Linked DNA regions of Drosophila melanogaster. The protein of the gene in region 2 interacts with the protein of the main gene of each other region in a biochemical or structural test. Each region holds a gene or a part of one and is shown on either strand. Other genes may lie near its edges.

Region 1 (12,194 bases), on a different chromosome or scaffold from region 2:
CGAAAGAGGCAACAGTGGGCAGTGGAAGGAGGGTTCCGCGGATGGATGTCATTAATTAAACCACAAATGGCGATAGAAGAAGGAGGCAACTACTTTTCGTTTTTCCGCCTTCTGCTATCCATAAAATGTCACGCGTCCCCCTTCCCCGCCGCCACCACCGCAGCTTGGAGAAGAAAAAAAAAACACTTTATGACAGGCAGGAAGTCACGATTCCACATTTCTGTCTGTCTGTTTGTCCCCCGATCCCCTCGATGGCTGCAATTTGACATCGGCCCCAAGAGATCCAGCTCCTCCGCATGGCCAGCGACTTACTTTAATCCACCAGCTTGCTTCTAATTGTTCCATATACACATACTTGTGCATGGAAATAGATTGAAGAGCAAATTGCTGAGCTTCTTAACGCTTAATTAACTTTTAAGTGGATTCCTTCGTTTGTGGACGAAGATTTCGTTTTTTACTCCGCGTTCAATTCAAGTCGGATCATTCAACTAGAAAGCTAGGGCTTATCTACGATTTGGGTTTATTTGCTCAGAGGGTTGCGCAGGCGTATAGAGCGATCTGTGCCCCTTTGGAATAATAAAATCGGGGGTTGGTGGAGGGTCTACTGTACCCATGTTAGCTTTTCAATTGGCCTAATGAACAGACTGTAGCTTGCAGCAGGGAAACAGCTGCATCAAAGGCTCTGGGGTGGCCAAACTATTCCATCAGGGGTGTGGCATCAAACCCACGAGTTTATTAACCGAAAAATTCCCTTTTAAGCTGACTCTACTAAGTATTCCAGAAAAGTTTAGAATTAGAGAGAGGAATGCGGATGGTGGAAAATAGTTATGTATATTAATTATTTTTGAAATGTATTTGCTAATCAAAAACACACTTTGAAGACGAAGAAGTTTATCCACATATAGAAATGGTTGCAAATTTTAATTGAATCACGTTCCTTTAAGAATCATGTGCATTTTTCTAATCCATCAAGTATATCAATGAATTTAGATTTTTGTTTAAAAAATAAATAGATAAATCATAAATGGAAAAGTAATTTGCCCAAAATTGCCGAACAGCACGTAAATATTCGAGTAATGACTCATCAATACATCTCTCCTTGAGCTTTCAGCTTAGAAATTGTTCGCTTCCCATACCGACAACTGATGCTCGACTGAAGCAATTTGGAAAACATCTGGTAATCAGTCAACGGATCCAGGCATCCGTATAGGCAACATATGTGCGGATACATCTATACCATATACAATGTACCTACATAAAGAGATACAACCCTCGGTGAGCGGATCCGTTTGGTCAATCGCGTGGTAAAATCAACGAATCAAAAGCATTTTAATATTACTCATGCTCGCCTTTCGTATTCTTCTTGTTGCCCCGTCTGGCTGCATGTGTAACTTTAAATTGGGGTGACGAGCCAATAAATTTAGGAAGGGTGGTGCCGCAGGAATGGTCGGATGGGGCACAGTGGGCACTGAGGGCAGTGGCCCAGTGCAGGGTCGTCGGCGGAGGCAGAGGACACACATCCATTGTCCAGAAACGCTGCTGTGACCCATTCGCGCCCAGAGCTTCCGCACTGCGGCCCTAATTGAGATTCAAGTGCTCTCGGCGGCAGTAGAAACAAAAGGAAATATTTATTCGGTCCTTTGTTCACTTTAACCTTTTCCGCTGTGTCATGTTGCTGCCCAAGTGGAAATCAATATTTGCCTTCACAAGCGACCCGATGAGTGCATTCTCATCAAATCGATGAGAGCGGCCAAAGTAAATCTGTTTAACCACCAGCGTGCTGTGTATAAATTAGTTAGTGGGTGGAGTAACCATCACTAAAACAACTTAGAACTTATCTGAAATGTGTGTGAATAAAATGGCACACTATTGGATTTATTTATTGATTTTATTGGTTGCCAAAACTCATTGAGCACTTCGCTCAACGAGTGGAGCACTTTCAGAAAAGCTTATTAACGATTTCAAAAAATGTCCAGGATCTATTCAGTACATTTAAAGGGAGACACCAGTAATTCATGTGGGTAAATAAATAATTAGTTATTGTAAAATAAGTATAATAATTTACATTAAGCGGAGTATCAATGTAAACAGAAATTAAAAAAAATTAAATCAATAGTGCCTAAAATACTATTCAATAATATTACTGCAAGTTCATAGGTGTATAGGTAATTCACTGACTATTTTATTGCTCTGAAAACAGGGAGTCACATGGAAAATTGGCACTGGTCCAACTGGTGGGGAAAACCGCCTAGCAACAGGATGGCGAGCCGACGAAAAACCAGAAAAAGAAGCAGGAAAATAAAAAGTATATCGCCAGCAGACGCAGAAGGAAGCGGAGGAGGAGGGTAGTGCAACACTTGCAAAATCAAATAGTGGAAACTTCAGACACACCAGCAAGGAAAGGACGAAGGCAGCTGCACGGGATTTCAGTGATTTTACAAGCAGGGGATGAAACAACACTAACATCAGGACTCACACACACACACACATGTGCGCTGAAAGGATCGCGACGTATGTGTGCCACATGGAAACTGCGAAGAATTTTAAGAGGTTCTTGAGAATGAAGCGTTTTGAGTAGGGAAAGCTGAAAACTACCTGACGGCGACAAAGGACCAAGGACCTGGCGGCAGGAGGCACAGGTTGCACACACACACACACACACTGACTGACACACACGAATGGACGCACAAGCGAATACAACGGTAATCACAGAGTTGCTTTTCTGCGGTTCCAAGGGCGCATGCGCCGAAAAAAAATCGCTGAAAATTCAGGGACTGCAATTATTTCCTCTAAAACTCGATTTATAAATAAAAAGTAGCATGAAATATATAGAAACTCCCCTACGTACTAAACAAGACATTCGGAAATTTAGTATGAAACTTGTTTGGGAGTCGTAGAACATGCATATTTCCTCCCTCATGGCAGTACATTTTCACACCCTTTTGCAAGTGTGTGTGATGTGATACGGTGCATAAAGTAACCGTTTTTGCATTCCCAAATTGAAAAAACTTAACGTCTGGCGAAAAATCATAAGGAAGACCAAAGACTATTATCATCTAACCGATAAAATATCAACCTACAGCATCCTGCAGTTGATTTCGCAGACTAGCGCTACTCGGTGGGCGTGGGCAGGACTCACGCACACTTCTGCACCCAACCTATACATACACGACGGGCACAAAGAAGTTGCCAGACAACGGTGAAAATTTCCCAACGGTACCGCCGACTTTTCTTACCGTTATTGTTACTGCGGCTGGCCAAATTGTTTTTTAAATGCGATTAATTGTTAACACTCACACACACACACTTGTGAGAGTGGTGGGCTATTTGCAGCAGGGTGCCACTAATCCACGGGGGTGGCGACTCCGCACAAAAGCACGGCACACACAAACACAGATACTTTGCTCTGCTCTTGACTATCTTTCAGATACTTTGCATACTATTATTCACTTTTTTGTAGGGTGGTGCACTAGCACCGCTGCAACCGGTTGGCGGATTGCTAATCGCGTACCGCTGCCGTATATCCGTCTATCCGTACCCGTATCCGTATCGGTGTCCCAAAACAAACGCTCACACGCACACACAAATACTCGCACGCTCTCGCGATTCGCCGACTAGCGCTGAAATCCGGTTCTCGATCGCTCGACGGTCCAAACAAGACTGAATCGGATGCTCAGATACTCGCCATCGGATTTAGATACAACGCTTAAACCGGCGCTCTCTCTCTCTCCCTCTCATCCTCTCTCTTTGCGCTTTCTGTGTGTGTGTGTGTCCGAAGGGGCGATTGTTTGGGAAATTTCTGGGACATTTCTCACCTGTTGCCTTGTGGACTGTGTTTGCTTGGATTTCAGCTGCAAATGTAGAACTTAATTATCTTTATAAGACGATAACTATTTTATTTTGAATATAAAACACTGATTAAACACTGATTGATTAGTTTAGTTTGTATATATTTATTTGCTTAACCAACAATATCCACACAAAGCCATGCCGAGCGATTTGGCGGAATATGTATGCTTACAAATGTGTTTATAATTTTTCACACGCTGATATTGAGGGAACATACATACATTAATATCAATTTAAGTTACTCGGAGTACAGTGCAAACTGCATCTATATCAATGGACAATAAAAAATACGTTGTACACAACCAAACAGTATTGAATTTTAATTTTAAGTTAATGCAAAATGAGTATTGGATTAGCGCAAATACTGCGATTTGAAGCATTTATAAGTTGTACAGAGTAAATGCTTTTGATAGAATATTAAAGGTTAACACTTGGGTATGGAGTACGTATGTTGTAATTGGTATCGAAGGTCAATTAAAATTCGAGGGAAGACACAATAGTGTTTACAACTAAGCTAAAACTAACAAAATCAATTAAAATTAAGTGGTTACCTAATAATTATTGTTATGTACAAGTTAAACAATGCGGAGACTTAGGTCAACACTTTGAGCGAGTTTTGTGTACGGTTTGTCTTGCGAGTATCTTAAGTAGCAGGTCAAGTCTTTACGGTTGAATCTCATGAGGATAGTTACTTTCATATGCTAGGTGTATGTACGTGTGGGGGTTTCTAAAATAAATGCTCCCCAGCTAAAGAGCCGGAATGAGAACCATGTGTTGTAGTCTATTTGTGTCATGACTGTGGACGAAACTTGTTCAGTTCTTGTTACCAGGATCTGAGCTATTGCTTCACACTTAAAAAGATATCGAACTCCAGCCACTTTAATAAGTTAAACGACAAGCAGTAAACTAATAAATTCAAGCTGGTATATATGTCGGACTATTGATTAAAATGTATGCATGTATATGGGAGTAATCTGTTATACATTTTTAAGCATTTTTTTATATTATCGCCTTAATTATTAAAGTGGCTGGATTTCAGCTCATGGCTATTAATTGTATATGGCTATTTGGCTTAACCTTATAATATCGTCCTGGAAATGGTTAAATTCGTATTTAGTTTCGACGACTTGCGTCCTGGATAATTATCTTGTTCTTCTGACGCGTCACTTTCGTGGCCGTCGGAGCTGGCATCAGACGCTTCAGCTGCTCCGGCCTGAAGCTGACCAGGGCCTTGTCCTTCACTTTTCCTACGGCTCCAGTGGTGGTTGTCGACGTAGTGGTTGCCGTGGCCGTGGTGGTTGACTCAATCAGGGCCGTGGATTCCTCGGCCGTGGACCCTGAGGAACCGGCTGCGGCAGCTGACGCATATCTGGTGAGCACATGGAACTTGGCAAAGATGTTGCGTCCGCTGCGTTGCTCTTTGTCCTTGTATTTGTCTAGCGCCGAGCCGGTGGGCATCGGCTTTGGCGCTTTGATCAGTGCCTTGCTTGGATTGCCGCCACCTTTGTAGAAATGATCGTAGTCGAAATCACTACTGGCCTGCACCGGCGGGGCGACACAGGCAGGGGCCAAAGCTCGTTCTCCGTAGCTGGCCGAACTGGCCGACGTTTCCTCCGCCATGTGACGCAGCATCAAAGTGAGTTTCATTTCGTGCTGGCGCTGCAGCAGCACCGCATTCCGTTCGCCTTCCAGTCTAGCCTGGCGCACGGCATTGGACAGAACACGCTCCTTCCACTCCCAGGCATCCCGCTCACGCTCCAACTGCACCAGCTGCAGCTCCAGCTTTCGTGAAGAGTCGCGCAAATCGATAACCTTCGTGAAGTATTTGTACAGAAGTGTTCGCATCTCCTCCGTTGAGAGACGATTTAGGCGTGCCATCAGCATCTGTTCTCCCTTCTCCCGCTGAATTCGGTCGCTCGTGTCGATGGAGCGGTGGCCCGTGATCATCTCGTTCTTGAATTCTATGGCCGCATCTATGGCCTCGATGGCCTCATCGCACTCGAGCAGCTTGCGCTCCTCCTTTTGCGTCAGCACCTTGTCCCGCTTAAGTTTGCGGTCCAAATGACAGCGTTCTTCCAACAACAAGTCACGAGTTCCGCGCAAGTTGCGGATCTCATGACGCAAGGTCTCCTGCTGTTCTGGTCCCGGCTGCTCCTCCAGGTTATCCGACTTCTCGCGTAAAATGTGATTAAGGTGCGTAATCCTAGCCTGTACTGCCTTTAACTGGCGGCCTTGTTGCTCGGGAGAACCTTGCGCCTTCACTAGCTCTTTGCCAGTCTCCCTGGATTCTCGTAGTTTGGCCAGCTCCGCCTCCATCTGGCAGCGCAGCTTGCACTCCTTTCGAAGCTTTTTCTGTAAATCATCGGCCTGTTTTCGCGACTCGCCCACCGATTGCTGTAGCTTCTTCACCTTCTGTCCGCTCTCACCCGCAATATGCTTCATTGAGCTGAGGTCTTCTAGTCGACGCTCGAGATGTCCGATTATCGTGGTCCATCGCTCAATCTCCGACTGATCCCGGCCTTGAACTAGCGCCTTACCTAACTGCTTCTTGGCCTTGTCGCACTCGGCCTCAAGTTTGGCACGTTTCTTGTGAAATCTTTGCTTTGCATGGCTGCGTGTATCGCTGTTCTTGACCAATTCGGCGATTATATTTTGTTTTACCTGGATTGTCTCTTCGATTTCCCGTAACTGTCGTTGCTTGCCCTCGATCTCAGCGACCAGTTTGCGCAATTTTTTCTGCAGCTGTTCAATAGGAGCAGTGGCGGCGGCGGCAGCGAGAGCCGCCTGACGGATTCCTTCGCCCGAAGAACTTTCCAGAGGATCGACGACCGACTCAGGATCGATGGGCGGAGGCGGCTGCTGGGAAGCTACCCGATTAAGCATGGCAAGCTCAGCAGTACTTAAGCTAGCACCTGGCTGAACACTTCTCCTGCGACCTATTAAAGCAAGGAATCAACATGTTACTGTATAAAAAAATGTTATTCAAGGCAAAGACTTACTGCCAATGCTGACTTTTCGATCATCACCATTTTCTTCTGGCGGCTGTGCCTCAATCTCGCGGTCTTGGCTTTGCATAACCGCCTTCGGATGCTTGGATAGATATTCAGCGTGTTTTTCAAGTATAAGAGCGTCTGTTTTGTCGCGAAACTCTTCCATTAGACTTTCTATCTTGTCGTCCAGATCGGGCCGATGCGACTCATTGTCTGTGTCGTTTTCGTTGTCGGAGTTTGGCGACTCCGAATTGGCTGCTTCAGAATTCACGTCCTCGGGCTCCTCGGCCTCCAGAATGGGAACCAACTGTTTTTGCTGACGCATAGCCTCTGTTGAGCTGAGACACTCCTCGCACTCCTGCTTGAGGAAGAGCCACTCCTCGATCTGCTCCTTCTCCACTTCAGTAATTAGCTTGGAGTCTATCAGCCTATAAATTTCTTTTGTCGTCAAAAGGCCCACATCGGAAATAATGTGTACACTTACTTGGAAAATAGCCCCTCGGCGTTGGTAACTAGTTTGGACCATTGGCTTGCTGCGAATTGTAGGCCAAAGTTGTCCCCTGGTCCCGCCTGCGACAAGGGTCCAGCAGAGGAATTGGATTCGGGAACAGGCTCAGCCGGCTGAACGATCATCGTGTTGTCGTCGGAGTAGGTGTTCATAATTACAAAATTACGTACGCACTGCACCTTAAAGGCGAACTGCAGGTTGCCAAGAGTTTCGGGCAAGTGCTCTTCCAGCGGTGACACGCACAGGATCACGAGCGTCTGAGCCCGTCCGCCGAACGAGTCCTTCAGGAGAGTGGTGAGCGTGGTCTGACCGTACGGAATGTTGCCATTAACCCCGTACATGAGGCCTGGATCTGTGAGAGTACTGATCACCTGCTCCAGCATACACAGGCCAGCATCGAGAGGACGTCCCGGTGGCTGGTCTCCACATCTCTCTGTGCCGCAGAGATCCGAGAAACTGGCCGTGGACAAGCGGTGCTGCAACAGCCCCTCCTTGGACACCCACTGCTGCTCCAGGGTAAGCGTGAACAGGGTGTGCGCCGGCAACGATTGGCGGGCCGACAGACCCACCTGCAACCAGTGGAAGACGGCATCTACGTTGGTGCAGTGTATGTTTCCCATGCCCAACAAGTCGCAGACATCACCTCCGCAAATTTCCACGAATCCCACGTTGATGGCATAGGTGCGTTCTTAAAGTGAAAATGGAAATGGATAACTATGCTTATAAGATCCTTTTAGTAAACTCACCTGGGTGCAACGATATGTGTGAGAAAATGTCACGGACACAAAGTTGGACGACTCCTTCGGTGGAATCCGTCAGAGTAGGGTCCTGGACGTTTCCGTAGAGTGTGTAGCTTTTGCCCTGGCCCCTCTGGCCATAGGTGACTACAGATGCGTCGAAACCTTCCAGGAACAGGGTGATGAGCGGAAAGACCGTCTGGTGGTACACTTGCTCCTGGGAGCTGCTGCTGGGCAGGGCGTGGGTGACCGGAACCGTGTGGGGACCGACTTGTATCAGTCCAGCTGCAATGCTGTCCATGGGATCTCCGCCTGGCAGGGCACTGGGCAATCCCAGGGCCGAAGCGCTGATGGGAATAGCCTGAACGCAATATGCGGAGTCTGGGTAATCCTTCTGACCACTGTCGTTGCCATTGGCATCTGGAATTGTCTTCGAATCGGCCGCACTGTCCTGCTCAGCATTCCCGTTTGGGTCCGTCTCTGAAATTGACGGATTGTCCTTCTCAGCCGCCGGAACTTGAGCCTCGGAGTCCTTGGAGTCCGCCCCCTCATCCACCGCCTGCGCATCCTTTTTGGGCTCTGTGGGGCCGAAGCTCCTCAACAAGTCCTTGAGCTCTCTATGCGGGAAGATGCGCACCGCTACCTGAATGGGTATTTCCATGGTGGTTAGGCAACTAGTCCTGGTCTCGCAGGAGCTCTTTCATTCGATATCCTGCTCTTTGTTTCGCATCTTTGCGCTTTCAAATACGTGCAAAAATTCAACTCCCTCCGAATCGATACAATGTGATAGTGTGGCCGACGCTAAAGCGCCAACCCAAGCCGAAAATACCGAATCCATGTAACAGTTTGTTACTGTAAAAATCAAAATCAGTTTCCAATCAAATTGCTGTCAAATGTCAATTTTAAGACTGTGAGCTCACAACTATTCTTCAAACTGGTGAGTAAAACCGAATTCTATAGATAGATTCTCGTCAAAAGACTTAAGCTTGAACTGCTGTTTTTTTTTAAATGCCAAATTGCTGCCGTGCTGTTGGTTGTGATCTTCGCTAACCATGGGCTTATATAGTATACACAGACAGTAAACTTTGGTATTTTAAAAGTTGCGATCAGCATGGTCGGTATATGCTAAAGGTCTCACTGAGCGCGTGTTTTTTTTTGTGCTAAACGCTTCGTTTTGAGAATTAAGTGCAGTAATCACCATAAATTAGCATGTCCAAGCGTCGAATCGAAGTGGGGGAGACCTACGGCAGCAAGGCGAAGAAGTAAGTGACCCGAGGCCAACATACGGCAGTAATGTAACGCTCCTTTCTCACCAGGGACCCGGAGGCGTCCTCCTCGTCGGCGGCAGCCGCTGCCGGCACAGTGGCTCAAATCCTGGGCGGATTCGTGCCCAACAAGCAACCGCCCACGATGAACCCGCTGACCAACACGCCGTACTCACAACGGTACCAGAATCTCTACAAGAAGCGCATTGCGCTGCCCGTGTTCGAGTACCAGGCGGACTTTATGCGGCTGCTCAGCCTGCACCAGTGTATTGTGCTGGTGGGCGAGACTGGCTCCGGCAAGACGACCCAGATCCCGCAGTGGTGCGTGGACTTCGCAGTATCCAAGGGGCGCAAGGGAGTCTCCTGCACACAGCCACGTCGAGTTGCCGCCATGTCCGTGGCCCAGCGCGTTTCGGAGGAGATGGACGTAAAACTGGGCGAAGAGGTCGGCTACTCCATCCGTTTCGAGGACTGCTCCACGGCCAAGACGCTGCTCAAGTACATGACCGATGGTATGTTGTTGCGCGAGGCCATGTCTGATCCCATGCTGGACCAGTACCAGGTCATTCTGCTTGACGAGGCTCACGAGCGGACCTTGGCCACTGACATTCTAATGGGCGTGCTCAAGGAGGTCATTCGTCAGCGCAGCGACCTTAAGCTGGTGGTCATGTCCGCCACACTGGACGCCGGCAAGTTCCAGCAGTATTTCGACAACGCACCGCTCATGAAAGTGCCCGGTCGCACACATCCCGTGGAGATCTTCTACACGCCCGAACCAGAAAGAGATTACCTAGAGGCTGCTATTCGCACGGTAATCCAGATACACATGTGCGAGGAAATTGAGGGTAAGTTGGTAAATGAGTTTAGCTTGGAGTTCATTTAATAGCTTGCTAGTTCATTGTTCTAAGAAGCATTTATCGATCATATGTTTACAATGTAAAAGTGCCAGGCAAAATATAAACTTTCCGAGTGCCGAAGGGCGGCAAATGCTTCGTATTTGCTTTAATGGTATTGTAATCATTCAAGTGTTTACGACTTTTGAATATGATCCTATTCAATGCCGGAAAAGACGCATTCGCTTTTTCCATTGTAAACTAAACCCCAACTTGATTTTGCTACTCTAGGTGATATCCTAATGTTCCTCACGGGCCAGGAGGAGATTGAGGAGGCTTGCAAGCGCATCAAGCGCGAGATCGACAATTTGGGCTCAGAAATTGGAGAGCTGAAATGCATTCCCCTGTACTCGACGCTGCCGCCCAATTTGCAGCAGCGCATCTTCGAACCGGCCCCGCCGCCAAATGCTAATGGCGCAATTGGACGCAAGGTCGTGGTGTCCACCAACATTGCCGAAACCTCGCTGACCATTGACGGAGTGGTGTTCGTGATTGATCCAGGCTTCGCCAAGCAAAAGGTGTACAATCCTCGCATTCGAGTGGAGAGTCTGCTCGTCTCACCCATTTCAAAAGCGTCTGCGCAGCAGAGATCCGGTCGTGCTGGACGTACGCGTCCTGGCAAGTGTTTCCGTCTGTACACGGAAAAGGCGTTTAAAAACGAGATGCAGGACAACACCTACCCCGAAATTCTGCGCTCCAATTTGGGTAATGCCTAGATCCCCTGGAAGTATTACTCGATTTCTAATATCTTGTTTCTTATTTTTGAGCAGGCACTGTGGTTCTGCAGCTCAAGAAGTTGGGCATCGATGATCTGGTGCATTTCGATTTTATGGACCCCCCTGCTCCAGAGACCTTGATGCGTGCCCTGGAGTTGCTCAACTATCTGGCCGCCCTGGATGATGACGGAAATCTTACAGACCTGGGTGCCGTTATGTCCGAGTTTCCATTGGATCCGCAGCTGGCCAAAATGCTGATTGCCAGCTGCCAACATAACTGCTCTAATGAAATACTTTCCATAACGGCCATGTTGTCGGGTGAGATAAAACACAAATCTAAGAAACTGTCTTCGATAAGTTGGGGGTCGCACTTATACTTTCATGGCTGTCACTTTTCGTTTTTCAAATACGTAAATACGACTTGTACCTAATTTCGATTTGTGCCGATGCATACTTTCATTTATTTCCGTTAAAGTGGCTGCCGTGAATACTTTCTACGTTATAAATTGAAAGTCTGAGGTTTCGGGGAAGTATATTCTATATTCTTGAAGGGATTTATGTAATTTCTTAAGCAACAATGCAAAGGAAAAAGTTTTTCAATTTATTTGTTCTTTGCATTCAACTCGAAAAGAAAAGTTGCACATGCGTTTAAAAGTCCAAGCCCATTATTTGAATGGATTGATGTGCAAAATATGCCCGAATAAATAGTGTTTTTATCTTTTAATGTTCCGCGAACGCACTTGCAACTCACAAATGCAATCAATCTTTGAATCAAGCCTCTAGATTGCCTAGCTGACAAAATGAAAGCACAATCTATTTGTTTATGTTAAAAATTGTTTTGAACTTGCGCTTAATCGAAACTAAACCAATTCAAACGTGCCAAAGTTCCACAATGCTTCGTTCGCCCCAACGAGGCGAAGAAAGCTGCCGATGAGGCCAAGATGCGATTCGCCCACATTGACGGAGACCACCTGACGTTGCTTAATGTCTATCACGCCTTTAAGCAGAGTAAGTAAACTAAACCAACCTATACTCGAAATGGAAACATAAAGACATATTTCTTTATTTCTTTCAGGCAGTGAGGATCCAAACTGGTGCTACGAGAACTTCATAAACTTCCGCTCGCTAAAGAGTGCGGATAACGTGCGCCAGCAGCTGGCTAGAATCATGGACCGCTTCAACTTGCGGCGCACGAGCACTGAATTCACCTCGAAGGACTACTATGTAAACATCCGA
Region 2 (10,747 bases):
TAGATTAACTTATTCGAATGCGAGGGCGCAGGCGCAGGTGCGGGTGCGGGGAATGATCCAAACAAGGTTTGAACGCAGCGGCGCGGAAACAAGTCAAGCTGCTAAATGCATCCAGTTTACTATCTAGCGGAAGGGGCCTCCTTCTAATCGCCAATCTGCCATATCAAATCAGCTACTACGCGGGATCGGGATTTGGGATTGGGTGCGAGATGTGTTCGGGCATCCGAGGTTGGGGCAATACTAAACGTAATCATAATACACACACATCGTAAAATGCTAAATCCTAGTCACACAGCTCACACAGCTACGTACAACACAACACGATTCCAGCATTCCATCATCGCGCCGCCTCCGTGGACGGCCAGCCCTATATGGACATCTCGGGCATCTTGTTGTGCTTGAGGTTGATCTGGACGCTCTGCGAGAACATCTTGATAATGCCGTAGTGGTCGTTGGCGAACACTTTCAGGAAGCTGGGCACGTTCTTGTGGAGCAGCTCGTGGCAGAACTGTGGGTATTTTTGGTAGGCCGGCTGCTTGTCATCCCAAATGGCCAGCAGATCGCAATCGTCGCTGTTGTAGAAAGCAGGCAAAAGTACATATTAATGCGATAAGAATACAATATCTCAATTAAGCGTTCAAGTGCCCGTCTCGAGGATTTTGTCTGCGTCTACTCACCGCACTTCGTTGGTGCACTCGTCCAGCGATATGATCAAGTACTGGATCTTCAGCTGGGCGCACTGGTTGTAGATATCCGACGACTGCTGACGACTGTACACCGAGTACACGTGCTCCGTGCGCTCCCTTAAAAAAGATAAACAAAGGCGGAAGTTTCAGTACGTGCATGGCCAGGATATGGATGCCAATGAGAGCGGGACAGAGCAGGGGCATAGTCGATAGGCTATCTCGCTCAGATTGGGAGAACTTACGCTATCTGACGCATCTCCAGGTGCGCATGGTTGACTATGGGCCGTTTGGTGGTCAAGTGCACGGTGCCGATGATGTCCACGGGGCCGGCAAAGACCGCATCTCGCTCTGTGTTCAGCTTGATCCACTCGAGCATGCTGTCCAGGTCGTCACCGCTCTTGGAGTAGCGCGTGGGGAAGTACTCTTCGCGAATGTTCTATTTTTGAGAGGGCGACGAAATCACAACAATTCCCGTGAGCAATAGAGGCGGTATCCAACTTACCACCATGCCCGGATCGAACATGCTGAGCAGGAAGACGGCCAGCGAGACCGACCAGAAGATGTTGCGCTGGCGATGGTACCACAGTTTGGAGCAGACGGTGGGTGCGATGACGCAGCCCTGCGTGAAGCTGAGGAAGAAGAGCTTGCGCACGGCGAGTCCGATAAGGGTGAAGACTAGCATCTGCAGGAAGCTGTACACGTAGTGCATGTTGAGGATCTGTGCGTTGGCCGTGGGCACCACGGAGCTGCGTCTGGAGGAGCTGCGCTTCCTCTGTCGATGGCCACTCGAGTTTGAGCCGCAGCCGGCGGCGGTGGCAGAGTGTTCCTCCTCCTCCTCTTCATTGTCCGCGGACCTGGACGGCGGCGTTTCAGTGGGATCTGCTGCAGACTCGGTCTCCGTTTCGCCACTACCTGGCTCCTGATTCTTCTTCTTCGATTCCGATTCTGCTTCCGGATCCTTATCCTCCTCCTCAGTCGGCGTGCTGGCCCCGTCGGTGGCCGCTTCTTTGGTTTCCTGCGCCCGCTCCTTGCGCTGCTTGACGCTGTTGCGGTTAATTTGCGCTCGCAGCCGCTTGATATCCTGCATAAAGTCGTCGCGGGCGGGCGGCTGCTCCTTACGCAGGCTGGCCTGTGCGCGCTTGTAGCGCTCGTAGTCGTAGTCGCAGCTTTTGAGCAGGCGGAAGCACTTATACAGCTGTTTCTCCGTCTCCTTGCTAGACATGTCGCTCATGGAAACGAAGTGCTCCTCTATGAAGTCTTCCAGCACGTATTTGCGCGCTCTCTCGCGCTGCTCTTCGGTGAGGGCACTTACTGGGGCGCCGCTCTTGCGCCAGCGCCGGAAGAACATGGCCAGCATGACCACGCCGTACATGCAGTACGGCTTAACAATCATCGTCTTGACCAGCTGCCACAATTCTGACCAGGCGACGCGCGCGTACTGCGGATTGCAGGCGGAAAGGTGGGCGACAAAGCCGACATTGACCTGCAGAGCCCAGTGGGCACATATGTCGAAGAAGTGCTGCTGGTCGCCTTCCGTCACACTGACCACGCCAGCCCGATTGAAGAGCTCTATCAGCGTGGTCTGCACGCTGCTGGCGAGCAGCAGTGTGAGCATGAGGAACTTCAACGAGAATAAGTCGCCGTTCAGCAGATCCTGCGCGTGTCCCAGTCGCCGGCTGCGCACGTGACGCAACTGTCGCACCATTGTAATCAAAAATAGGAACAGCGAGATGCTCAGCTGCCAGGTGAGAAGCAGCTGGCTGTTGCCGTGCGACATTACAAAGGCGAGAGCGTGGCCCAGCAGGTGCGACAGCGAGTAGTCCAGCACGAAGGCGTTGACCAGAGCCGTGGGCAGCGCGCTCGCGTTCCAGGACGTCATCATGATCAGGATCTGGGTGGTGAAGATGAAGGTGGAGAACTGCCAGGAGAGTAGGGCGCAGGCGGTGAAAAGCGACATGGCGAAGATCTTCGAAGGGCAAAGATGTTACTGAGCTTAATGCAATAAAGCACACCTATTACCATGAACATGCGAGATGTGTGCCGCTGTCGGTGTATGATCCTTCCGATGCAGATACACAGATAAAACATCTGCAGGAAAATGAACGGAAAGGCGAAGTTCTCCCGCGCCAGCGGCCGCTCATAGATCTTGGCCACGAAGCTGTGGAACATCAGGTACGAGATTACGCCGTATATGCCACCGAAAATGTTCTCGCTGAGCAGCGTTCCGTACAGGTAGAGTACCAGCAGGGTTACCCCGCCCATCAGCCACACGAACTCCAGATAGAACTGCATCGGTTGCACCATTGGATTGAAGCCGGAGCGCACTACGTGAAAGAAGTACCTTTGGGGAGCGAAAGTGCATCTGCATTAGTGGACTTTTTGGGCATCACTCCTCTGGCAGTCACTTACGCCGTGACCAGCTCCGGCAGCACGTAGAATCGCTGCAGCACATTGACACTGTGCGGATACTCGATGTCCGTGACGTTCTTCAGCTGCTCGTAGCCGTGCCAAAAGTCCGGCCCTTCGGCCAGCTGCTTGTAGAAGGCATAGTACAGGGCATCCTCGCGCCGCAGAAGCGCCTCCCGCTCCAGCTGATTGAGCTGCTGGATGTTGGTGCGCGTCTCGAAGATCACGCGCACATGCTGCACGTATAGGAAGAAGAAGCCGCAGCCTGGGATGCGGATTGGAATTGGGAGTGTGGTCAATGGCAGTGGGAATCCCCAACTCAATTAGACTGCCGCCTGGAAGCGGAAGAGGCGTGGCAGAAGTGTCTGCCGGTTGGCGGAAACTCACCGATCAGCGCGTGCGACAGGATCACGTACAGGTTGGGCTCGCGCATCGTGCTGCGATTGTGGGTGTCGTCTCACTGGGTGGCTGTGTTCAAATTGGCAATCATTATTTATTTCACAACGATTATTCCTGGCTCCGCACAATAAAAACCAGCCAGCAATCAGCTGTTCTTCGGCCGTGCTTGTCTAGGGTGACCGTACCGAGTTGCTGTCAAAAGGGTCATTTGTGTTGGTTTGGTCACACTGAATTTTAGGTACATTACGATATATAGGTACATACCTATAATTAGTTATATTATCTACTGCACTTTTGGAATTTTTAATTATTTATATTGCATATCATTTATTGCACTTATTAAGTAAAAATTTGTACATTAAGAAATATATACATATAAATATTTATAATATATAATAATATATAAGTTAAAGTTCGTTCCAACTTTTATCACTTAATAAATGTTTATTCGCAGATAATACTAATACCTACTGCCACAGATAAAAGCGCAAACTAGTCTTGTATTTGTCTTGGATTGTATCATGATCTGGTCTATATAGATTTTTAGGTACAATTGCTGTCCAGCAAAAGCGTCATTTATCAGAAAAGGAACCCTGTATGAGCAATCTAGTATTTTCATATACCTACGTACCGAAGCCGAGTTCCCACCTCGGAGTCAACCTGCTACGGTCATACCGCACGCACTTCAGTGGTAATCACATCCCAATCCGCAGCAAAACAAAGAATAACCATGAACCGCTACGCGGTAAGCTCGATGGTGGGGCAAGGATCCTTCGGGTGCGTATACAAGGCGACACGCAAGGACGACAGCAAGGTGGTGGCCATCAAAGTGATCTCCAAGGTGAGTGGGGCGGGCCAGGTGATAAAGCAACAAGTCCATACAACTAGTTCACACCATATTCATGTTCTGCAGCGCGGAAGAGCCACGAAAGAGCTGAAGAATTTGCGCAGGGAGTGCGACATTCAGGCCCGGCTGAAGCATCCGCACGTCATCGAGATGATCGAGTCCTTCGAGTCGAAGACGGACCTTTTCGTGGTCACTGAGTTCGCGCTGATGGACCTGCACCGCTACCTGTCCTACAATGGAGCCATGGGCGAGGAGCCGGCACGTCGGGTGACCGGGCATCTGGTGTCCGCTCTGTACTACCTGCATTCAAACCGCATCCTCCACCGGGATCTCAAACCGCAAAACGTGCTGCTCGACAAGAACATGCACGCGAAACTCTGCGACTTTGGACTGGCCCGCAACATGACCCTGGGTACCCACGTGCTCACCTCGATCAAGGGAACGCCCCTCTACATGGCCCCGGAGCTGCTGGCGGAGCAGCCGTACGACCATCATGCGGACATGTGGTCACTGGGCTGCATAGCCTACGAAAGCATGGCCGGTCAGCCGCCCTTCTGTGCCAGCTCCATCCTGCATCTGGTGAAGATGATCAAGCACGAGGACGTCAAGTGGCCGAGCACGCTGACTAGCGAGTGCCGCTCCTTCCTACAGGGCCTGCTTGAGAAGGACCCCGGTCTGCGCATATCCTGGACGCAGCTGTTGTGTCACCCCTTCGTTGAGGGACGCATCTTTATCGCAGAAACGCAGGCGGAGGCGGCCAAGGAATCGCCTTTCACAAATCCCGAAGCCAAGGTTAAGTCGTCAAAACAGTCCGATCCGGAGGTAGGCGATCTGGACGAGGCCCTGGCCGCTTTGGACTTTGGCGAGTCGCGACAGGAAAACTTGACCACCTCCCGCGACAGCATAAACGCCATTGCTCCCAGCGATGTTGAGCATCTTGAGACCGATGTGGAGGACAATATGCAACGTGTGGTCGTTCCCTTCGCGGACTTGTCCTACAGGGATCTGTCTGGTGTTCGGGCAATGCCGATGGTACACCAGCCGGTGATCAACTCGCACACTTGCTTCGTCAGTGGCAACTCCAATATGATCCTCAATCATATGAACGACAACTTCGACTTTCAGGCTTCCTTGCGGGGCGGAGGCGTGGCCGCTAAGCCAATAGTCGCTCCAACCGTACGCCAGTCGCGCAGCAAGGATCTAGAGAAGCGTAAGCTTAGTCAGAATCTGGATAACTTCTCTGTTCGCTTGGGTCACAGCGTCGACCATGAGGCGCAACGCAAGGCCACGGAGATTGCTACACAGGAAAAGCATAACCAGGAAAACAAGCCTCCCGCTGAAGCAATTTCCTACGCAAATTCTCAGCCCCCGCAGCAACAGCCACAACAACTTAAACACTCAATGCATTCCACCAATGAGGAAAAGCTGAGCAGCGAGTAAGTGGCCACTGCGCCTCATAGAATTTCTTTTACTAACTTTCCCCTTTCAATAACAGCAACACTCCGCCGTGCCTGCTCCCGGGGTGGGATAGCTGCGATGAATCCCAAAGTCCGCCCATCGAGAACGATGAGTGGCTAGCCTTCTTGAACAGATCGGTGCAGGAGCTGCTTGACGGCGAACTGGACTCATTGAAACAGCACAACCTGGTGAGCATTATTGTGGCACCGCTGCGCAACTCCAAGGCCATTCCACGGGTACTCAAGAGTGTGGCCCAGTTGCTGTCGTTGCCCTTTGTGCTGGTGGATCCTGTTTTGATTGTTGACCTCGAGCTCATCCGCAACGTGTACGTGGACGTAAAACTGGTGCCCAATCTCATGTACGCCTGCAAGCTGCTCCTGTCGCACAAACAACTCTCGGACTCGGCTGCCTCCGCCCCACTCACCACGGGTTCGCTCAGTCGAACGTTGCGTAGCATTCCGGAGCTAACTGTCGAGGAGCTGGAGACGGCTTGCAGTCTGTACGAACTGGTCTGCCACTTGGTACACCTGCAGCAGCAGTTCCTAACGCAGTTCTGCGATGCGGTTGCCATTCTGGCAGCAAGCGATCTGTTCCTCAACTTCCTCACGCACGGTAAGATTACCCTTAGATGGTATGAGCTGACTCCTGTAAACTGTTAGCCCGTTCCCGTTCTCCCGTAGACTTCAGGCAATCGGATTCAGACGCCGCCTCTGTTCGCCTGGCTGGGTGCATGTTGGCCCTGATGGGCTGTGTGCTGCGCGAGCTGCCCGAAAACGCGGAGCTTGTAGAACGGATTGTCTTTAATCCGCGGCTAAACTTCGTCTCGCTCCTGCAGAGCCGACACCACCTGTTGCGGCAACGTTCCTGTCAGCTGCTGCGCCTGCTGGCCCGCTTCAGCCTGCGCGGCGTGCAGCGCATATGGAATGGAGAGCTGCGATTTGCGCTGCAACAACTCTCTGAGCACCACTCGTACCCGGCACTCCGTGGGGAGGCCGCCCAGACCCTCGACGAGATCAGTCACTTCACTTTTTTCGTCACCTAGCCGGCACTTTCTTTTATTGGCCTCAGGCGTTTTTATCCGAGCAGATCCTGAATGTTGCCCTGGAAGTAGTCGAGCAGTTCGTCGATGTAGTTCCCGAAGCGGTCGAAGTTGAGCAGGTAGTCCTCGCTGCAGTCCTGTTCGTACATCTCGTTTAGCTTGGACACATCCTTGTCGGAGAGGCCGCGTCTCTGGCCCAGCGAGGCGTACGGATCCTGGAAGCAAAGGACAGGAGTCAGAGAGTGTAGACGATGCAAGCTCCCCCAAGTCATTACAAACATCTCATCGCTTCAACTAAAACTGCTAAGGTGTAGTCAACCATTCAGCTAAAGAATTCTCATTTGATATAGTTCCAACTGGACAAGGAAGCAAAATGCTTCGTCTATTCCTAGCATAGTTGCACGTCATTGGACCATGTGTTAATATAGGAATTCCTAATCTGAATATGATCAAATCACTATCACTATCGAATTTAAATATTTTATGAGCCACGGTTTTTGGCATTCCTAATGGAATCTAAGTTAATTGATAGGTGTTTTTGAATGCACATATTCAAGTGTGGTTTGTGCAAAATAGATTGATAGCATTATAGTTTGTATATCGAAATATAACATTTAGGTGTAGTAATTGTTAAGATAAGCGAATTTACTGTATGTCCATACAATAGTCCATTAATTCGCAGTATTACTATTGAATGTTAAACTGAACTCCTTTACAGTGTAAGCGATTTAAAATAATACTCAATTACATGAATAACTGGTAACCATTTGGGTTGGCCTACTCACCAATGGCTCTATGGTGGCTTTCCCGTTCTTGCTGAAGGCCCGCGAGCTGTAGTGCATGACGCTCTGGTAGTCGTACTCCACCCCGAAGTTGGTGATGTGGGTGCGGGCGTACTTGTTGAAGTTGTGCGCGTGCCCGTCGAGGATGTTCTCCCAGTTGATCTTGACGTACTCATCCCGCTCCGTGGCGCTCTGCTGGTGGTAGAAGCCGAGCGCGTGCAGCAGCTCGTGCACCACCACGCCGTGTGTGACGCACTTGGGTGTGTTCAGGTTGAGCACCTGGCCACCCGAACGCCGGCCGACGCTCGACCAGCAGCCGGAGTAGTTGCCCTTGATGAGCAGCCAGTGCTTGTCGCCCTGTTCGTACGGCCGGAAACGTATGCAGGTGCGGTCGTGGTACTCCTTGAAGGCCTTCAGTATGACCATGGTCTGGTTGGCGTCTGTTTGGAAAGGGTGTTTTACTACTTTGGACTGCTTGCAGGCCTTAACTCACTGAAGTCTTGCGGGTCTATGTAGAAGGGCACGGCGGCCTCTGGCCAGGTGAGCCGCTCGTTCAGCAGCCCGTTCCTCAGCAGCTCGCGGTGCAGCATGATGTCGCCCTCGAAGAGGCCGCAATGCTCCCATATGTTCGTATCGCTGTCCTCCGTCCAGAAGTTGAAGGCAGGACCTGCAAGTGCCAATGGTTGAGTGCATCGACTACTAGCGTCTGATATGATGTTGGGTACCTACTGTTGTGCCGGCGCAGCATCTGCATATTGGCGCCCCACCTGGCAGCGGGCGGCACCGCGGGTCGTGCGCGAAGAAGCGCCTTTCGCGTGGCCGGGGTACTCGCCTCCAAGGTGGCGGACAGGGCCAAGGCCAGGGCAGACCAAAAACAAATCAGACCGGGAACGATGAGCGCACTTCTCGGCATTGTTGGGGTAAAAGAAACGCCGGCCATGTTGCGTCGACGCTTTTATATGGCACTGCGTAAAGGGGCGGGGCAATGACAACGGCAATGGCAGTTCCAATTGAAAGTACGAGTGAGTATTGAGTGACTGACTGACTGGGCGACTGAATGGCGGACGCCCACGCCGCTGGATTTCGGATTTATGCATAACTTAACTGACTTATTGGCTCTCTCTTTCGGCGCGCATTCAAATTCCCCCGCCTCGACTTTTACGGCTTTTGGTTCCAAATTTAACTGGGATATTGGGTTATCAGTGGCAACGGCGTGCGCATATGAAAATAGCACACTCTCTTTCCCAGTACCAGCGCCAGTGACAGTGCCAGTTCCAGTGCCAGTGCCAGTGCCAGTACCATTACCCAGTGGCGGTGCCTTCCTGTCTTCCTATCTCGAATCGATCTTCATTTCAATCTCGATCTCACGTCCGCACAGAAAGAGAGAAAAAGCGGCAGAGACACCATGGAAAGCCGGGAGGAGTTCTTTGACCCCCATCGATTGATGATGTTGATGGCCAATGACAGTTGGCATCTGTCGGTGGCAAAAGTGAACGCTGTCAGGTATCTGGTCATCTTCTCCCTTTCTCTGACCCAGACCCGGATGGCTTGGCTTATCCGTCAGTTGAGTGGGTCACTGCAGTGGCAGTGGCAGTGGCGCTGGCCGTGGCTCCAAGTGGGTCGCCGAGTGGGCACCCACAAGATCACCAGAACACGATTTCGTCAAGTTCAGATGTGGGACCAGGCTGCCAGGCAGCCAGGCAGCCCACCATCCATCCAGCCATTTTGGCCAATCTGTGAGCCACAATCTAGATCCAAAGCGGCTTTCTTGTGCAGCGCCAGCAATTACCAGCGGATGGCGATGGAGTGCCATACATTTCTTTCTAACTTGTTGCGGAACAGCCACTTACTACTCGCTGTTGCTAATGCTGCTGCGGCTGCACTTTCACTACGAAATTGCACCAAAATCTAAGCCACATCGCAATGGATTTTGAGAACATTTTGGTCATGGCAACTGGAAATGCGCCTGGCCAGCAGCATGTTTAGCGGATGCAGAAACTCCGGGCACAAGACTCCCAGCTTCATTCAACTACATCTCCGAATCCGAATCCGACTACCACTACGACTGCAGCATCAGGGGCAACGACAGCAAAACACATTTGACGTACTATCTGCGATGTACTTGATCTTTGTCGAAAACTTGACACACTTTTTTCGGTCAACGGCTGGCGGCGGCAAATGGCAACGACTTCCAGCTCGACTGCGGAAAATTCGAGGGAAATCGCTAGTTACACAGGGGAAAACTTTAACATGTATAGATAAACTGGCAATAACTAGCAGCTTGCATTCTGAGTGTATCTGTTTAAGTTTTACGATTCTCTTAATTTGAAAATTATAAAGAATAAAATATAGTCAATATATGTAACAACAAAACTCTCATTAAAATCTACCACTAATAACTATATGTATTAAACATAGACTAAGCAATCTAGTTTTTTTTCGAGTGCATTTAGCAAAATAGCATGCTAAGAGTCGCGTCATCAGCATCGTTTCAAATGCAATTTTAAATTGAGAAAGTTTAGCGGACAGAGATTGTGAATTTGCGACAAGACAAGCGGGGCCATAGATGCAGATGCAGATGCAAAGATACATGGATGTAGAGACCGAGTGGCTGAGTCTCTGGCTCCAGGCGGTAATTGACTTCCTGCATGGCGCTGAGAACGCTGGCTTTCGGTGGGTGTTAGATGGTTGGATGGTTGGCTGGTTAGATCGTTGGATCGTTGGATAGTGGGTTAGTTGCTTCGTCGGACTGTTGGGTGGGTTCTTGGCCTTTGTTGTTTTTCACTTTTGGCCAGCGGCAGTCACTTTCTGCGCCACTGGCCCAGAAACGAGCCTTGTTTGCGGAGTCATCAAGTGCTAGGAGACGGAGTTGAAGTTGGAGTCGGTTCGTCTCCAGAGATCAGATTTCTCCACTTCCTTTTGGCCGCTGCTGACACAGAACTGTCATCTTGTCATCTCGAGGCATTCGGCCAGTGCGAATCCGAATCCAATTCTATGCCCAGCCCCAAAGGGGAGTTCCAAGTGGCAAAGAAAAGGGTGCTCATCTTCGTCGGCGGACTGCTTAATAGACCAGAAATGCGCGAGAGCTGCAACGCTTGGATTTCACCTGTCGGCTAAGCGGATTGGCTTT
Region 3 (9,855 bases), on a different chromosome or scaffold from region 2:
CATATGTACATAGTATAATGATAGCTAATTTATACAATATCTACATACATATGTATGTACATTTATTGTTCATTCGTACTTATAAAGGTCCAAAAAGCATTCCCTTTGTTTTGTTATTGCCTCTTTTTTTGTCTGCTTCCTTCCTATGTATACATACATACATATTTGTATGTATTTTTGTCTTCGTCTGACAACATTATTTCAAAGGTCTTCTCAGCTCAGTTTCTTGCTAATGATGATGCTTCAATCTGCAGCTTGCTCCGTCTTAATCGAAAAAGAAACTGGATTCAAGAAGACATTATACGTTAACGGCTTGAATGTATATACAGTATACGTAGATATATGATATAAATGTGTGTATACATATACGTATACACAAGTGTGCGAGCATATCGCTTAAGCCGAACGTTCTCCACCCTTTTCGGCTTCGAACCGGTGACTAATTAAGCCTTTAAAATTTGTACTGAACCAAAGAAGAGAGGATAATAAAGTCATTGGGTACACCGCATAACTAAAGTGCTGTAATGGCAAGCAAAAAGTAGAAAAAATATTAAATATTAAAAATTATTTTGAACCATTTTTATATTACTGCTTTAACACTGAATTTATTATTTAGACGATGTGATTATTGATTTGTTAATAAATTATATATATACATTTAAAAATTATATAAATTGTTATAAATTATATAGATAAATATATACATATATCTACATATGTATATTTATGAAGACAACTCAAAGAATTTTTTAAAACCACATATGTATGTACATGTCTTATAATACTTATTTAATTGTGGAAAACATATGTACATGCTTCAATACACTAAATAATACTAATAATACTAAATAGATATGAATACATATGTTTCATTACGGACCTACGCACAATCCGTTATTTTTTGCAAATTATGAAGATGTGCAAAGTTGTTTGAAATTATTTACAATTTACATATATACATTTATATATATAAGTTTGGATGCGAAAATGTACGTACATATGTATGTAATTGAGCATATGTGTATGTATTTATTTTTATGATAATACTTAGAGATATGTATGTATTTATGTTCATATGTATAACAAAATTTCTGGTTTTGTAGTTTCCAAGAATCGACAAAACGTTTTTTATAAAAAGGAATGGGACCACCAAACATACATACATACCTATATATCTATGTATATTTATGTATGGGTGCATATACACGCTTAAAGAAGCGTACAGACGTACCTGCAAATACGATTATCTTGTGCGGATATTTATACACACATATACATACATTCATAAAGGGTCTGGAAAATCACACAAATGTACGTTAAGCAAACATACAGATTTGTTTGTATGTGTAAGCTGTAGAAGCACAGCATGTGTCCGCTTCTTCATAGAGTTTTGAGTAAGACGTTAAATTACAAAAGGCCTGGCACATACACACACAAGTATGTATGTATATAGATGCATACAATATACATACAAACGCATGGGTATCAAAAGAATCTGACGATACCAGATTCAATCCTGCTGTGCACTTGCAGGAAAAATGTTATTTTTCTTGTTTTAATGCCGGACAAGGATACACCATACACATCTACATATGTATGTATGTACAGAGTTGTTTTATAGTTAGGAAATTCATTGCCAAGACTAGTCAACGGTGGTTGTAAAATATAAATTTTTGCAGATACAGGTACAACGGCGTTAAGCATAACTTTAATAAATAAATTTCTTCGTATAGACATAAATATATGAATGAATGAACATATATATGAATATGAACATATAAATACAAATAAATACATATAATACAAATAATACAAATAAATGTATATGTACGTGTTCGTCAATGGACGTATCAAAAAGTATTTATGTATGTAAATATAAGCCCTGTAAATCGTAGCATGAGTTAATATTAATTGAGCTGCATAATATAATGTGAGCTGCAATTTCTTTTCTAATCTCTTACATATGTACATAGCTTTATAGTTCTTTGCTTAAAACGTTTCGAAAGATTTTTATTTTTATTTACATATGTAAATATACATATGTATATAAAACCGTTCAAAGGCATTCGAAGAGCATATGTACATACCTATATTGTAATAATGTTCTAAATAACATTTTTTTTACATACTTAAATTAAAAACAGAATTTTTTTTTAAAGAAAGGATGTGGCTTTCTTAATGTTCCTTATTATTATTGAAATAAACTGGGTATACAAACTTTTTGAATCTTTTATTTTATATTATAACCACTACGAGTACACGGGCGAGAAGGCATTAAAGTATAGTAACATAATATAAAATATACTATGGTATTTATACAAAAAATTTTGTCATAACAAATATTTGTTCGGTATAAAATATATGTACATATATACATACGATGCAAAGTATATAACGGCCACAAACTGCCGAAGACTGTCACACCCTTTTAAAAGTGACTTTTAAAAGTGATGTACCAAAAAAAAGTCATACCCACTTCGAACGATCACAAATTACAAAACCCTTGGAGGTTTGCAAAATACCTCTTTTTGAGATTAAATATATTATCAGTTTATTTCTTCAAAAACACCAAAAATTATCAGTATAACTTCATCACCTACCCATTAATATAAAACTTAACTAGTTAAAATCACCTTTAAAGACGGGGTTAAAAGACAGATGCCACCAAAAAGTACATATGAATATTCTTGGACAGCCATATTCACTGAATATTAATGGCATAATGAAAATAATTATGCTCTCCACTTTATTCGATAAATTTTACTAAATTTGACGACTAATTATGTAGCTTTATCAAAACTGTGGCTTGCCAAAGCTATCTTGTACTAGGCACAATTATATTTAATAGTTCAAGTCGCTTTTTTTTTTAATTACACGCGTTATGAACAAACAAGTCTCCGAAATTGTATTTTTCTTTAAGTAGTGTGTCTTTACTATTAAATACCTTTTTCAATAAACACAGCCAAAATTACTAATGCAGTTCGGAAATAGACGCGTTTCCATCATTAAAGTAGAACATTGATTGACATGAATTTATAAACTTTGTTATATTGCTTTGTTTAAAACATTGTCGTTATACTCACCTAGATCGTCTTTAGACCGCAAAATGTCGTCTAGGTTAAAGCCGTATATCAGATAAAAGAAATTGATTGACCCTAGCCGAATCAATCTAGTTATGCCCGTACGTAATATCGTGTCGGAAATTATAAATCCAATTTGGTTCAAGACAGTGTTGTTGAATTGACCAATACAGAACTAAGGGGCGAAGTGTTGCAATCGAAATATTAATTTTCAAAATTTATAAACAAGTATTTAAGCGCTGCCAGAAGTAACATTTATTTAAGCATCAACATTGCTATAACCACATACCCAAGGGGTTGGAAACATTTTAATTGTTGGATTGTTAGATTACCGAGTCTACTACCTTATTAACATCATATACTATTTAATGAAACTAGTATACCCAATATACCCATAAGATAGGGGTAAAAATTCGATGCATTAAGTACACTGAGTGCAAAAATACTGTGTCGCAAATATTACACCAAACCAGTCTTGATAGGATAGAAAACAGTTATGTATGTTTTCATCAAGAATGCTATTCGCAAGGGCAAGGCTATAATAGATAAATACGACTACAAATACATGTTTGTATTTTAATATACTGGATATACTGGGTATAATGGGTACAAATATCAACGAGATAGCCAAAATCAAGATTGAATCGGGTGTACAAGCTACTGTAAGATTAATCTATATATATATATATATGTATGTGTGTATATGTATATAGAGATAGGCGTTGCCAATAACTTTTGCGTTTTTTGCTTAAAAATAATATTGTATCGCCGAGGACAAAAATTACCCACTGAGAGACACAAACTACTAGCGTAAAAATATCTATATTAACAGCACTGGCATCGAAAAGTATCTTAACTCACGTACGAGTATATGTATTGTGTGGCCATCTTCGATCTGCCCGCCTTCGCCGACTGTTCGTGATCCGTAGGTACACACAGACATTTAAATCACCAATGCACTTGTTACTGTATTGTATTTATGTTTGTGAACCTACACGTATCTATGTAGAATCTGTACAAGTATCTGTGTTTGGACAATGGCATGTGTGAGAGGAGATCCGAACTGCTCCATCTAAACTAACGAAGCATTGCAACAGCTAGTGTTAATGTCGCTCAGTCCACTCGTAAGAAACATAGGAATAAGACGCAGCATTCAAAAAATATTGACTTGTCTTACAAAACTGATTTTCATTGTTCGCTACTTAATATTTAGTGATAAATATATTACTTCGGGACTGATAATCTTATGAATATACGTGTGAGATTTGGCGATACCCTTCATTACTTAGGAAGCCGAGCGCATAAGCTCACACCATTATAATATTTAAGTGATATGAATATTAAATATTAAAATTTAAAACCAACTTTTTAATCAAAGAGTTTCCTTAAAATTGTTTAAGTTGCCGATCAAAAGTGGAAATTTATGCGTGCCGTTATTTGAAATACCAATCTTTTGAAAATGTTTACGCCGACGGTTAATATTATTTAAAAGGATAATTGAATTTATAAAACGACGTCATTCTTGTTGTGGACTAACTTTAATGAAATGGACGCCTACGCGTTACCTACATATTTTCCTCTTGCGTAAGTTTTTATTTGCATATTCGAGAAGTAAGCCTTACAATAGAAAAATATCTACATTTTTGTTTAAAACGAGGAATTTTAAGATTACAGTCCATGAAATGTTTAGAAATGTGTAAGTTAAATAATAACAATTAAATAATAATAATTAAATAATTAAAAAAATAAAAAATAACAATAATTATTGTTATTATTATTATAATAATTATATATAATTACATATAATTATATATATATTATATAATTATTGTTATTATTATTATAATAACAATAATAATAATAATAAAAATAATAATAATAATTTTAATAATTATAATAACTATGGTAACAATAAAAAAGAATAATAATAATAACGATTAACGGGTATAAAAATGTTTATTATTATTATAATTACTATTATTATAATTTTTATGATTAATCAATAAATAATAAACATTTTTATACCCGTTACTAGATTCGTTGAAATGAATGTAACAGGCAGAAGGAAGCGTCTTAGACCATATATAGTATATACATACATGTATATTCTTGATCAGGATCAATAGCCGAGTCGATCTTGCCATATCCGTCTGTCCGTATGAACGTCGAGATCTCAGGAACTATAAAAGCTAGAAGGTTTAGATTCAGCATACAGAGACAAAGACGCAAGTAGCCATGCCCACTCTAACGTCCACAAACAGCGCAAAACTATCACGCCCACACTTTTGAAAAATGTGTTGTTCTTTTCACATTCTGATTAGTCTTTTACATTTCTATCGATTTCTAAAAAAAAACTTTTTGCCAACGCCCTAAAACCGCCCAAAACTCCGACACCCACATTTGTAAAAAATTGTTGGGAATTTTTTTCATAAATTTATTAGTTTATTATTTATTATAAATTTAAGTTTATATCGATTTGCCGACAACATATTTTAATTTTTTTTCTCATTTTATCTTTTATCTATCGATATCCCAGAAAAATTGTGCAATTTCGCATTCACACTAGCTGAGTAACGGGTATCTGATAGTCGGGAAACTCGACTATAGCATTCTCTCTTTTTGAAATTGCGGACGTGCCCGTTTCTGCGGTTAAGAGCGAGCGTGGAAAAAATAATTTTTAAATATCGATAGAAGTCGTAATCTAATTTTGAATTTAAAACGCTGCATTCAAAGATATTGCTATGTTAACATCGAAGCTAGCCAAAAGAAAATTATGTTGGCGTTTACATAAAAATTATATAATAATAAATAGTAAATACATTAAAATACTTAAAAAAATTAGACTCTAACTTTATTGTTGGTTGATCGAGAAGTTACTTGAATCTGTATGTCTGAGATTAATAATCAAGAATTTTTTTATATATCAAATGAATCGGATTATAATAGCGGGGTTTCTTATAATCATGTATCTAATGTCTTTGCTTATGCTTGCCGGTTTGAGGGCGTTAGAGCGATACAAAAACTTTTTAGCGAATCGATAGAAATTTGCAAGACTTCATGAAAAACAAGAGAGACTGTTATAGTCAATTTTCCCGAATATCACAAACCCGTTACTCAGCTAGTGAAATGGAGAGTCCAAAATTTCATAATTTTTCTGGCATATCGATAGATATTGGGGAAAAAAATGAGAAAAATAAAAAAAATTACTGAAGTATGGGCGTTAGCATTTTGGGTGTTTTGTAATTGTTAGGAGGGGCCGAAGTGTTTTTGGCTTACCATAAACATTGACATCAAATTAAATAAAATCAAAACATTTTGCAAAAGTGTGGGCTTGGCAGTTTGGTCGGTTTGTGTTCGTTAAAGTAGGCGTGGAAACATCGGTTTGTATGGATGGGTATGCTTAATCTGAACCTTCTACCAAAGACACTAGAATAACAAGATGCGTAACGCCATACAATTTTTTGGCACACGATTTTTTCGCCGTGGCTCTAGAGGTGGCTCCAGGCTCTCTCGAATTTTTGTTAGAGAGCGAGAGAGCAGAGAGTGCTACAGCGAACAGCTCTTTTCATCGCATAAAGTGATAGCAGACAACTGTATGTGTGCACACGTATGCTCATGCATTGTAAATTTGACAAAATATGCCCTTCACCTTAGAAGTTCTTTGACTTTAAATCTATATTATTTTTGATCAATTGGCACCATGTGAAAAATTCTTGTTTTGCATTGCCTTAACGTTATTATTATATGAAAATAGATTAGAAAGAGCCAAATCTATGTACATATTATCACAAAAATAAATTTAAAAATGACTTTATATATTTAGAATATTTGTCATTAGAGTATTCGTCTTGCGGCGTGTAAAAATTAATTAGGCAATGATTGTTGAGTGCTTGTGTCCGCACTTCGTGCCTCAAGATATGACCAAAGCAAAGACACTAGAATAATTCTAGACTTTTGCAATAAACAGTTATCATATTCTTATGGAATTTATGAAATTCCAGTAGTTATAATAATTTCTATTGTACTTCCTTTAATTATTTACTATATTTATTAAGTCATTTAACATTAAAAGTGTTTCAAAAAAAAATATTTCGCTTTTAAAAAATTGTCAGATGAGAGACAAATTAGAATTAAACATAAATATATATGTGTAAACGGTAGCTAATTCGATCGGCGATTTTAACAAACAAATTTTAAAAGCTTTAATTAAGCGCGAATTTTAAAAAAATTATTTAATTTCATCATATTTCTAGGAAATTGGCAAAAACTACCCTAATATGTACAATGTAAATTCGTTTTTTCGATCAGAATTGATTTCGGCCCGAAAATAGTCTTCTAGCACAACACGCACACATATACGCGTTCTCGTCTCTTGTTTTTACTCACACAAGCAAGCAAATTCTATTTTTAGATTTCTTACGCTCTCAGCGTGAGCGAGCGGAAAGAGAGCAATTTTGGTCGTAGAATTTCTGTCGATTGCCAAACAAATTTTTTACATGACCAGTGCAACGCCCTAAAGCCGCCAAACCCGTCACGCCTACACTTTTAAACAATTTTTAAATTTTTTGTCATTATATTCCTTAATATCTATCGATATCTCAGAAAAATGATTAAATTCACATTCACACTGGTATTAACAACGGGTATCTGATAGTCGGGGAGCTCATCTACATCATTCTCTCTTGTTTTGTGCTGTTTTTGGGCTTTGGGTGTAGGAGCGTCCGGAAACAAACTTAGCAGTGTAGGCGTCACTAGAATCATGAATCATGATTCATCTGAACTTCTGGCATATATATATATATACAAGAGTTCCTTGGCTCTTGGACGGACTTACGATCATGGCTAGATCGACTGTTCAAGAATATATACTCTAAAAAGTCAAACGTTTCTTTCTCCCTAAGTAAAAATGATGATTACAAAAATGTAAACCCAAATACGAGATTTTTGGGTGATGATAGACGATTTATAGTACTTACGCACTTATAGATGATAAACAAAATTTAACAAAAAATTTATTTTATTTCCTATAGGTATTCTGAATTGCAGTTTTTAGCGTCCAGGAGAGCAGCTGCCGTCGCTGCAGCGGCTACTGTTTTACCAGGATCACCATGCATAAACCAACATCACCCAACTGACGTTTCAAGCTCGGTAACAGTGCCATCAATTATTCCAACGGGTGGAACATCAGATTCAATTAAAACTTCAATACAACCACAAATATGCAATGAAAACACCCTTCTTGGAAATGCTGGCCACCAGCACAATCATCAGCCTCAACATGTTCACAATATAAATGTTACTGGACAGCCACATGACTTTCACCCGGCCTATAGAATTCCCGGATACATGGAACAGTTGTATTCTCTTCAACGAACTAATTCAGCTTCATCTTTTCACGGTATTTAACTTCTTGTATTTGTAAAAAAGTAACCTTAAAAAGTATGGATTTTTGTTTGTTAGATCCCTATGTCAATTGTGCATCAGCATTCCATCTTGCCGGACTTGGTTTGGGATCAGCTGATTTTTTGGGCAGCCGAGGTTTGAGCTCTTTGGGTGAACTGCATAATGCTGCTGTGGCAGCAGCAGCAGCCGGATCTCTCGCAAGTACTGATTTTCACTTCAGTGTTGATGGAAACAGGCGGTTGGGTAGCCCTCGACCACCAGGAGGAAGTATACGTGCCAGCATAAGCCGCAAACGAGCACTTTCGTCATCGCCTTATTCCGATTCATTTGATATTAATTCAATGATTCGATTTTCGCCAAACTCTTTAGCCACAATTATGAACGGTTCTCGAGGAAGCAGCGCGGCTAGTGGTTCTTACGGTCATATTTCTGCTACCGCCCTTAATCCCATGTCTCATGTTCATTCAACCCGTCTGCAACAGATACAAGCTCATTTATTGCGTGCAAGTGCAGGTCTGTTAAATCCGATGACACCACAACAAGTTGCTGCATCTGGATTTTCTATAGGGCATATGCCAACCTCTGCTTCTTTGAGAGTGAATGACGTACATCCTAATCTAAGCGATTCACATATCCAGATAACAACATCCCCAACTGTTACAAAGGATGTAAGCCAGGTCCCAGCGGCAGCATTCTCGGTAATTGTTAATTAATTTAAAATATTAAAAATGATTATATTATATCGTTTATCTAGTTGAAGAACTTAGATGATGCAAGAGAGAAAAAGGGACCCTTTAAAGATGTTGTCCCCGAGCAGCCTTCATCGACATCTGGCGGCGTAGCACAAGTAGAAGCCGACAGTGCGTCTTCACAGTTGTCTGACCGTTGTTACAACAACGTGGTAAACAATATTACAGGCATTCCTGGTGACGTTAAAGTAAACAGCCGCTTGGATGAGTATATTAATTGCGGATCAATTTCGATTCCGTCAAATGAATATGATTGTGCTAATGCTGATACTACGGATATCAAGGATGAACCCGGAGATTTCATTGAAACAAATTGTCATTGGCGTAGCTGTCGCATTGAGTTCATTACGCAAGATGAACTTGTTAAACATATAAATAATGATCATATTCAAACAAACAAGAAAGCTTTTGTCTGTCGATGGGAAGATTGTACACGCGGTGAAAAACCATTTAAAGCGCAGTATATGCTTGTTGTGCATATGCGGCGTCATACCGGTGAAAAGCCACACAAATGCACGGTAAGATTAATAAATTATATAAAACAATTTATATGAATTCCATTTTAAATCATGTGTAAATTAGTTTGAAGGCTGCTTTAAGGCATATTCACGTTTGGAAAACCT

What was found.
Region 1: the proteins of fu (region 2) and cos form a complex in vitro, tested with the Drosophila melanogaster proteins (4 studies listed by BioGRID, with this or other methods).
Region 3: the proteins of fu (region 2) and ci form a complex in vitro, tested with the Drosophila melanogaster proteins (2 studies listed by BioGRID, with this or other methods).

The regions. Positions count from the first base shown.
Region 1 is NT_033778.4:7,378,235-7,390,428, forward strand, and holds cos (costa), read right to left. Parts: upstream 8,882-12,194; 5' UTR 8,746-8,881; coding exon 8,094-8,745; intron 8,036-8,093; coding exon 7,324-8,035; intron 7,268-7,323; coding exon 6,849-7,267; intron 6,786-6,848; coding exon 4,963-6,785; 3' UTR 3,942-4,962; downstream 1-3,941. Other genes in the region: Dhx15 (DEAH-box helicase 15), read left to right, coding at 9,294-9,346, 9,401-10,194, 10,474-10,947, 11,013-11,276, 11,844-11,966, 12,034-12,194. UniProt on the Drosophila melanogaster protein: Regulates cubitus interruptus (ci) processing by recruiting multiple kinases to promote its efficient phosphorylation.
Region 2 is NC_004354.4:18,653,619-18,664,365, forward strand, and holds fu (fused), read left to right. Parts: upstream 1-4,136; 5' UTR 4,137-4,221; coding exon 4,222-4,332; intron 4,333-4,404; coding exon 4,405-5,774; intron 5,775-5,833; coding exon 5,834-6,408; intron 6,409-6,476; coding exon 6,477-6,838; 3' UTR 6,839-6,870; coding exon of another isoform or gene 6,871-7,050; 3' UTR 7,051-7,586; downstream 7,587-10,747. Other genes in the region: CG6659 (uncharacterized protein), read right to left, coding at 368-572, 678-803, 929-1,122, 1,189-2,652, 2,706-3,027, 3,096-3,357, 3,480-3,525; CG6696 (uncharacterized protein), read right to left, coding at 6,871-7,050, 7,621-8,057, 8,111-8,284, 8,347-8,530. UniProt on the Drosophila melanogaster protein: Probable serine/threonine-protein kinase; maternally required for correct patterning in the posterior part of each embryonic metamere. May be involved in control of cell division during metamorphosis and ovarian development. May interact with costal-2.
Region 3 is NC_004353.4:50,640-60,494, reverse strand, and holds the start of ci (cubitus interruptus), read left to right. Parts: upstream 1-4,163; 5' UTR 4,164-4,626; coding exon 4,627-4,664; intron 4,665-8,110; coding exon 8,111-8,478; intron 8,479-8,540; coding exon 8,541-9,181; intron 9,182-9,237; coding exon 9,238-9,750; intron 9,751-9,814; coding exon 9,815-9,855. UniProt on the Drosophila melanogaster protein: Has a dual function as a transcriptional activator and a repressor of the hedgehog (Hh) pathway. The full-length ci form (ciFL), acts as an activator (ciA) while ciR, its C-terminally truncated form, acts as a repressor. Involved in segment polarity.